Notamacropus eugenii: one gene and its partner. The protein of the gene in region 2 purifies or fractionates together with the protein of the main gene of each other region. This does not show direct contact. Links are inferred from orthologs where the notes say so. Each region holds a gene or a part of one and is shown on either strand. Other genes may lie near its edges.

Region 1 (3,750 bases), on a different chromosome or scaffold from region 2:
TGTTGATTGATCCCTTTTGAATGAATAAATGTCCATTATTGATTTACCTACCTTTATCCATAATAACCTTATATTCAGCTTAATGTGAGACTGTCTATATCCCTATTCTTTGAATGTCTAGAACCTATCTGGTTTAGTCATTATCAGTTGGTTATACCTTAGTATGAATGAAAGATTTGAAAGTGGAATTTGAGAGAAAGAGAGACAGAGACAGAGACAGAAACAGACAAATAGGCAGAGACAGAGAGATGGAGAGTAGGAAAGAGTGAGAGACAGAGAGAGTGAGAGAGACAGAGACAGAGAGATTGACAGAGAGTGAGAGCATACTTTGGGCACTGAACCAATGATACTGATTCGGAGTGGAGTTGGGATGAGGGCACTGAAAACAAAATTTTCCTACTTCTCCATTTTGCCTCAGCTTGGTCCAGGATCACTGTATTGTGAAACCAGTGGGGTGGGGCAGCAGGGAGAAGAGCATTCAGATATTCTAATTTCAAAGAGAAATCTAGCTACGTAACTGGCCATACTTACCAGAAACCTTGGACCGCTTATAAGGTGTTTCTTCACTACCTTCTCACAGTCTTTGTAGTTAAGCTGCCAACACAAAGGGAAGAACACTGTCATCAGCAGGAGAGAATTGTCCTTTGCTACCCCCTCCTCCATCTTCAGATCACCTTAGGAGCCTTCCAATGGGGGAATCGGCTACAGAACTTGCTCTCTTCCCCCAAAGCTGGAGACTTGCCACCACTCAGATTGCTATAAGAAGCTTTCAGACTGCTGCTATGGGTAGTTCTTCATTGCAAAGGGTTGGAAGTCCAGTCCATGAAGAAAGAGGTTGCTATCACATAAAGTCATAGATAGAATATTGGCATCACTGCCTTACTAGCTCTTTAAGACTGAACTTTCTGGCTAAGCTTTCACGTCCTCAAGGACTTTGCCTGATAATGTCTGGTATCCCTGCATTCTGGGGAAAATAATATTGGATCCTTCTAACTTATTGTTAGTAACTGAAGGGTCTTTGCATAGTGCTGGTTTAGGCCTAGGCGACTTTAATTCTAGAGATGTAAACTGAGAGTCCTACCAACAAGAGTCAAGAAAGCAAAAATCTTGCTCCCATTAAGCTCCATTCAGAAAAGAAATGTATAAAAGGGATTTTGAAAATTTGAGCTTACCCTCTCTCCCATTTTATTGATTGGAAAAATAAGGCCCAGAAAGGGAAGAAGGTTGTCCAATGTCACATAGCAAGTTATGGGTAGAGGTGGAGGTCAGATCTTCTAGTTCCTCATCTATGGATTATGGACCACTCTGGTCTTAGAGGTCATTTTGATTCTACTTTCTTCAGTGAAAGTTAATCAAAAAATATAGAGCTCCTGCCCCATAGACTTTGTGGGATATGATAGGTAAGAAAGGGGATTGCCAAGAAACAGAATATGTAGTCCCATCTTTCAAGGTTGCTACTCGGTTGGGGAAGAAAAACTAAACCAATGAAGCAATTAGACAGGAAGATGAAGCTCCTCCATTTTCCTGGCCCTCCTATCTAGGGAATTAAGGGAGGTGAGTAATAGCAGCTCACATTTGTAGAGCACCTTAATATTTGCAAAATGCTCTACATATATTACCTCATTTGATGATCAATGAATTTCTCTTCTGAGGGGGAGTCTTAGGAAGTCTTTTCCTACTGATTCATTAGGAAATGTTGCTTCCCCTCCTCTCTTCTGCTCTCCTCTCTATGATTAGAACAACCCAGGTTCTACTCTCTCATGCCTCTAATAACTCTGCTGGCTCCAGGATCACTCCCAAACCTTGAACCTGAAGGCTGGTTTGAAAATTACTTGGTTCTCATTGTTACTTGGCTTTGGCCGCTGGATGTGAGAGGCTGCCATATTTTGGAAGGTCAGAGTCACCAGTAGCTGTTACCAGTACCTTCACTGATCCCTGGAGTAAAATTTCCCCCACCCAGAATATGCACTTCTCTGTCCTTACCTGGCCCCCTAAATCTTTCATTCCCTCACAGCTTATTAGAAACCTGGACTAGAACTCAGCAAACTTGGCTACTAGAACCTATTTTGCCACTAATTAACTCTGTGGCTTTATATAAGTCATCTGTTCTCTTCTTTGGGCCTCATTTCTTCATTTGTCAAATTAGGACATTGAACAGGATGATCTTTTTGGGCTCTGAAATGTTAGGATCCCCCATGTCCCAGGAATGATTTTTAAAGTCTTCAGTTAAGAAGAGAATTGGAATACTTCAGAGAGCATTCCCTTGCATTGACATTTGTATGATGTCAAATCAAATAGAAGATTATCAGGGGGGATTGGCTGGCTAGGGATTTCTCAGAAATTTCTCAGGAATTCTCAGAAATCAAATCCAGTCCAAGCCTAGAATTCAAGGAAAAAAGGACCCATGACTGATTATCTTAAAAGCCTGACCATGATCATCTGGTAATTTTTTCCGCTGGGAAGCAGTTCTCATCCTTTTGCACTCCAGGGGAAAGATCCTTTCACCAAAAAGGAAAGAAAAAGAAAAACTCACCTTCTTGAAGTATTCTGCCAGCTCATCAGGACCCCAGCCCAGGACCTCGGACCGGTAGGGTACATTGCTCAAAGCCATTTCTGTCTAGTTGTTTGGAGGACCCACAGACTCAGGCCATGAGTGGGATACCCATTGACAGAGACAATAGTGAAAGTCAGCGATTCTGAGTTTTCCAGCAGCACCTAGTTCTCCTTCATAAGATGAGATGACTTGGTGTCTGCATTACAAGGCAGTTGTAGCCTAGACTCCAACGGCTTCCTCTACGAACAAATATGGTTTCTTCTCAGAAAACCAGCTAGCTCGTTTCCTTTACCACTTCCTTTGCTGGGTTCTAAATAAGTAAACAAGGAAGTTCAGCTTGTAGGGTGTGGGGGGGTGAGGCAGGGGTATTGAAATTTGGAACACATATTTATCTGCTTGCCTGGTAATTTCCCAAGGGACTAGAAAGAGTCTCAGCTGTAATTATTGTCTCCCCGGTCTGGATGGGAGGGGCAATTAAAGGGCCTAAATCTTTAAACATATTTTTAAATGCCAAGTTGGTTGAGTCTTTTTCTGATAAAACTTAGGTATATGCATGCATACATGTGCAGAGGACAGTTAGTCAATAATCATCCACTTAGTGCCAGGAACCATACCAAGTTCTGAGGATACAAAGAAAGCCAAAAAACACAGATACAGACTTATTAGCACATGCTTAAGGACATTTGACCCTGCTAGGCAATGACTTGCTGGATAAGAATCTGTTGTGAGAATTCACCTGAAATAGTGATAGATGCAACAAATCTGCAGAGAAATTTGTGTGTTTGCATGTTTTTAATGATTTTCTGTTTCTCTTCAAGGACTTATCAAAGGAACATCCTACCTATAATAATTTGAGATGCCTTTGACTTCTGAGAAGTGATAATTAATCAATCAGTAAGCACATATTAATTACCTACTATATGCCAGGTACTGTGCCTACAACTGTGAGATGTCTTTTCAAGGGAATTGTGGGAAGATGGTGAAATAAAGCAAAAAAACTAGCTGGCTTTCCCAAATCCTCTCACAAATAACTTAAAATAATACCTTTAAGTCTTACCATTTATTTTCCCAGGATCCATGGCCATAACAATCTCTATTTCCTAGGCTCATGACTTTTAAAGATCTTCACCACACTTGAACAGCATTACATAATGATAAAAAAACTATAAACATTTGTGTTTAAAATTGTAAATATC
Region 2 (3,750 bases):
ATGGAATCTTAGGCTATATTAATACAGTCATAATGATGAGAGATGAAAGAGATGATGGCTCTGCCCTGCTGTGCTCCAGTCAAAACTCATTTGGAATTTTGGGTTTGGTTCTAGATATTATATTTTGAGGACATAAACAGACTGGAATAAATCTTTAAGAAGTCAGGCAGAATGGGAAAGGGATTGAAGAGTGTTCAGTTAAGGCAGCTTGGTGGATAGAGTAGATAGAGCTCTGGGTCTGGAGTCAGGAAGACCTGAGTTCAAATTAAGTCTCAGACACTTACTATGTGACACTGGGCAACACACTTAACCTCTGTTTGCCTCATTTTCCTCAGCTATAAAATGGAGATAATAATATCCCTTACATTGTAGGGTTGTTGTGAGAAGCAAATGAGATATTATTCGCAAAGCGCTTAGCACTGTGCCTGGCACATAATACACCGCATATGAACACTTATTTACTCTCCTCCCTTCTGTACCAAAGTTATTTGAAGGAACTAGACCTATTTCCCTGGAGAATGGGAGATTTGAGGAAGTCTTGCGGGACATGACTGATCTCTTCTAGTATTTGAAAGAATGTAAATCTAGAAAACGATTAGACTTGCTCTTTTTGGTCTCAGTAGAGACTTAGGAGAGGACTGGAGGTTTCAAAGAGACAAATTTAGGCTTGGTATAGTGAAAAAAAATTCTGATGGAGACACCTAAAAAGAGGATGAGCTCTCTTAAGAAGCAATAAATTCACCCTAAGTGGAGAATTTCAAGGAGATGTCATTGGTTAGAGACATTATACAGAGGATTTCTACATTTCCGTAGATTGAACTAGGTGACCTCTGGGATACCTTTTATCTGTGAGATTCTGTAACTCTATTAGGTATGCTTCATTTTCTCAATGAAACTGTAAGCATCTTGAAGGCAAAAATGATCATATATCTCAATATTGTAACATCAGGGACATTTAATGCTCAGTTAATATCTACTCAAAAGCAATGTTCATCTCTTATACTTCTCTCTAGCCTCCATAGTACCTACCGTGTAGTAGGCATGCAAGAAATATTTGCCAAATGCTTGGTTACATGTCTTTTTTTGATGTCATTTAAAGTCCTTTCACAATCCTCAAAATCCTCTCTGATATTTTCTCACCGTCCTACCCCAGCCCACACACCCCTGACTATTTAGAACACTACAAGTTAAGTAAGAAACCCCCCTGGCGCATAGTAGGCATTTAATAAATGTATATTGATTGACTGATTGATTATGTGGTCCTGGACCCACTGTCCTATCTTGTCCTGGTCCAAAGTCTAACTGGAATCATGCGCTCAACACTGGGTTAGCTACTGTATGTTTTCACAGAAACAGAATATCAGAGCTGAAAGTGCGCTGGGGGATCAAATAGCCTAATTCTCTCATTTCAGAGATGAAGCAACCAAGGTTCAGAAGAAGGCGGGTAACTTGGGAAAGATTATATACCTAGTCAGGATCACAGGCTGGAATGAAAGTCAGGTCCCCTGATCTTGCCAGGATGCTTGGCTTTACTGTCTTTCTAACCTCCACCCTTTACCCTGTCATCCGCTTCCCAGATACAGAGAGAGCCAAAGGCACACAAATATTCTCCTTTTCACATACAGTCTTCCTGCACTTACACATTTTTATTAAGCTCCATTTGACCAAATGCCATCTTATATTATTCTGCTAAGTTGCTAGGGTCTCTGGAAACAGAGTAATACAGAAAAGATACTAAACCATTGCAAAGCAGCTTTGTGTTTAGCTCACTCCCAACTAGGTGAGGTGCGTTCCAGGAAGTTTTAAATTAACTTTAAGAAGTCATGCAGGGGCAGGGTAGCTTGGTTATTCACCCCTAAGGAACTGATTTTTCTCTTTCTTTGTACGAACTATATGGCCCACAACCAACCCAAAGGACAGAATAAACACAGTCCTGTTAGGGATGAAAGCATAAAGAATCAGACTATTCATCAGAAGATCATGAGTTTTTTCATATAATTTGTTAAATTACATGGAAAGATTTCCAGGTGGGAAACTGAATAGTGAAGAGTGGAGAAGCAGAGGGGAGCGGAGACACACTGGGTACAGAGTTCACTCAGCCGGTCAGCTGATATGAAAACGCCTAATACCAGCCATTCTTAATACTACTTTCCCAGGTACCCCCCTACCTTTATCCTGGCCCTGCTTTTCAAGTTCAAGGCTCTGTTAGGATCAGCTGTGTCCTGGTTCACTCTCATGTCTTCCTCTCTTTATCCCTTATTGAGAACTGAAACTGTCAGAGCTGAGCATGCCCAGTCAACATAGGTAGCCTTTGCTTGCACATCAGAGTAGAAACTACTGCACTCTTTATAGTCTTTTCATTGTTTGTTTACATTAGAGATCTCAAAAGGAGAAGTTGGAAACTCTCCCTCCCCTTCCCCCTATTCCTTTACATGAGTGAGTAAGACCTTTTCAAAGAGTGTGAGTCTTAGAAATATGTTGCAGGTCAGTCACTTCTACTGAGAGGCTTTCATGTATGTACACCGACAATTCCTGAAATACAGCATTGCCGTATGCATAGCCCTGGCTTCATGAGCTAAGATAAGTGTCTTTGGGAAGAATGTACTATGGTAATAAACTAAGCAAGTCAAATTAACTTCCTAGCTCTGGGACTTTGGGCAAGTCATTTAACCCTTCACTGAGCCTTAGTTTTCTCACTGGCAAAATGGGCCTGATATCTCTGGCACCTATCTACCTTGTAATGCTGTTAGGAGAATCAGAGCTGATAAATATATGTAAAGAGCTTGCTCTGCAAAGCACTTGAAAGCACTATTTAAATATCACCTATTTTATTGGTCACCAACTCCCCTTACAAGCACAGAGACTCATGAGGCTCAAAACAGTCTACTTAAGGTTAAAGAAAACAAGTAGACCTCATATTAAAGCCATTAGAAAATAATATTACCTCTGGTCTTCCTGATCCCAGGTCTGGAACTCTGCCCACTATGCTACCTAGCTGCCTCTAATGAGCCACCAATGCCTTTGCCCTTGTTAAGTTGTAGATTTGGAAGCCTGCAGCAACGCACTCCCATCTCCAGCTAGCTGTGAAGAATATTCTTTGATAAATTTCCCTTGAACACATAATTCTTTTATATGAATTTACTTTTTCCTTCCCTAGTGGAGATTGTCACACAATCATCTGGACAGATAATGACCACCAAATGAAGGAACTGAAACGAGTAGGACAAACTGATCAAGTCTCTTCTATGTTTTCAAATTCCTTAAACCTAGGGAACCCTCATTCTAATAACTTGAGTGAATGGCACTAATTTGTCCCTCCCTCTCCAATCATTTGCTAAGTCTTATCAATTTTACCTCCACAATAAATCTCCTATCTGTGCCCTTCTTCCTGCTCATAGAGTTTCCACCCAAATTCATACCTTATCATTTCTCCTGGATTGCTATAATAGCCTTCCTGTCTCCATTGTTGACCTTTTCCAATCCATCCTCCAGAGAGCAGCCAAATTGATATTTCTAAAGGACAAATCTGATGCTGTCAGTCTCATGCAAGGAAACTACAGTAGGGTAAAATCACTTTCTTAACTTGAATGAAAGAAACTCCTAAAATTTGAACTTTCTACCCCTGAAAGCAAAACCCACTTTCAAGAAATTGATGAATAATCTAGAATTATAGAAGCCTAACAGTATAAACTTGGCATGCATACTAGGAGGGGAGGAGGTACCAACCACTACTCTAAACTGTAGCCTAGT

The links. Proteins that work in one complex are often made in the same cells at the same time.
Region 1: the proteins of FYB1 (region 2) and LCP2 purify together in Homo sapiens (co-immunoprecipitation; 6 studies listed by BioGRID and IntAct, with this or other methods). This does not show direct contact. The link is inferred for Notamacropus eugenii from reciprocal best matches to the Homo sapiens genes FYB1 and LCP2.

Annotation. Positions count from the first base shown.
Region 1 is NC_092872.1:401,764,581-401,768,330, forward strand, and holds the start of LCP2 (lymphocyte cytosolic protein 2), read right to left. Parts: upstream 2,808-3,750; 5' UTR 2,612-2,807; coding exon 2,534-2,611; intron 595-2,533; coding exon 532-594; intron 1-531. UniProt on the Homo sapiens protein: Adapter protein primarily involved in signaling pathways within T-cells, as well as other immune cells such as platelets, mast cells, and natural killer (NK) cells.
Region 2 is NC_092875.1:421,214,850-421,218,599, reverse strand, and holds the start of FYB1 (FYN-binding protein 1), read right to left. Parts: upstream 2,323-3,750; 5' UTR 2,238-2,322; coding exon 2,169-2,237; intron 1-2,168. UniProt on the Homo sapiens protein: Acts as an adapter protein of the FYN and LCP2 signaling cascades in T-cells. May play a role in linking T-cell signaling to remodeling of the actin cytoskeleton. Modulates the expression of IL2. Involved in platelet activation.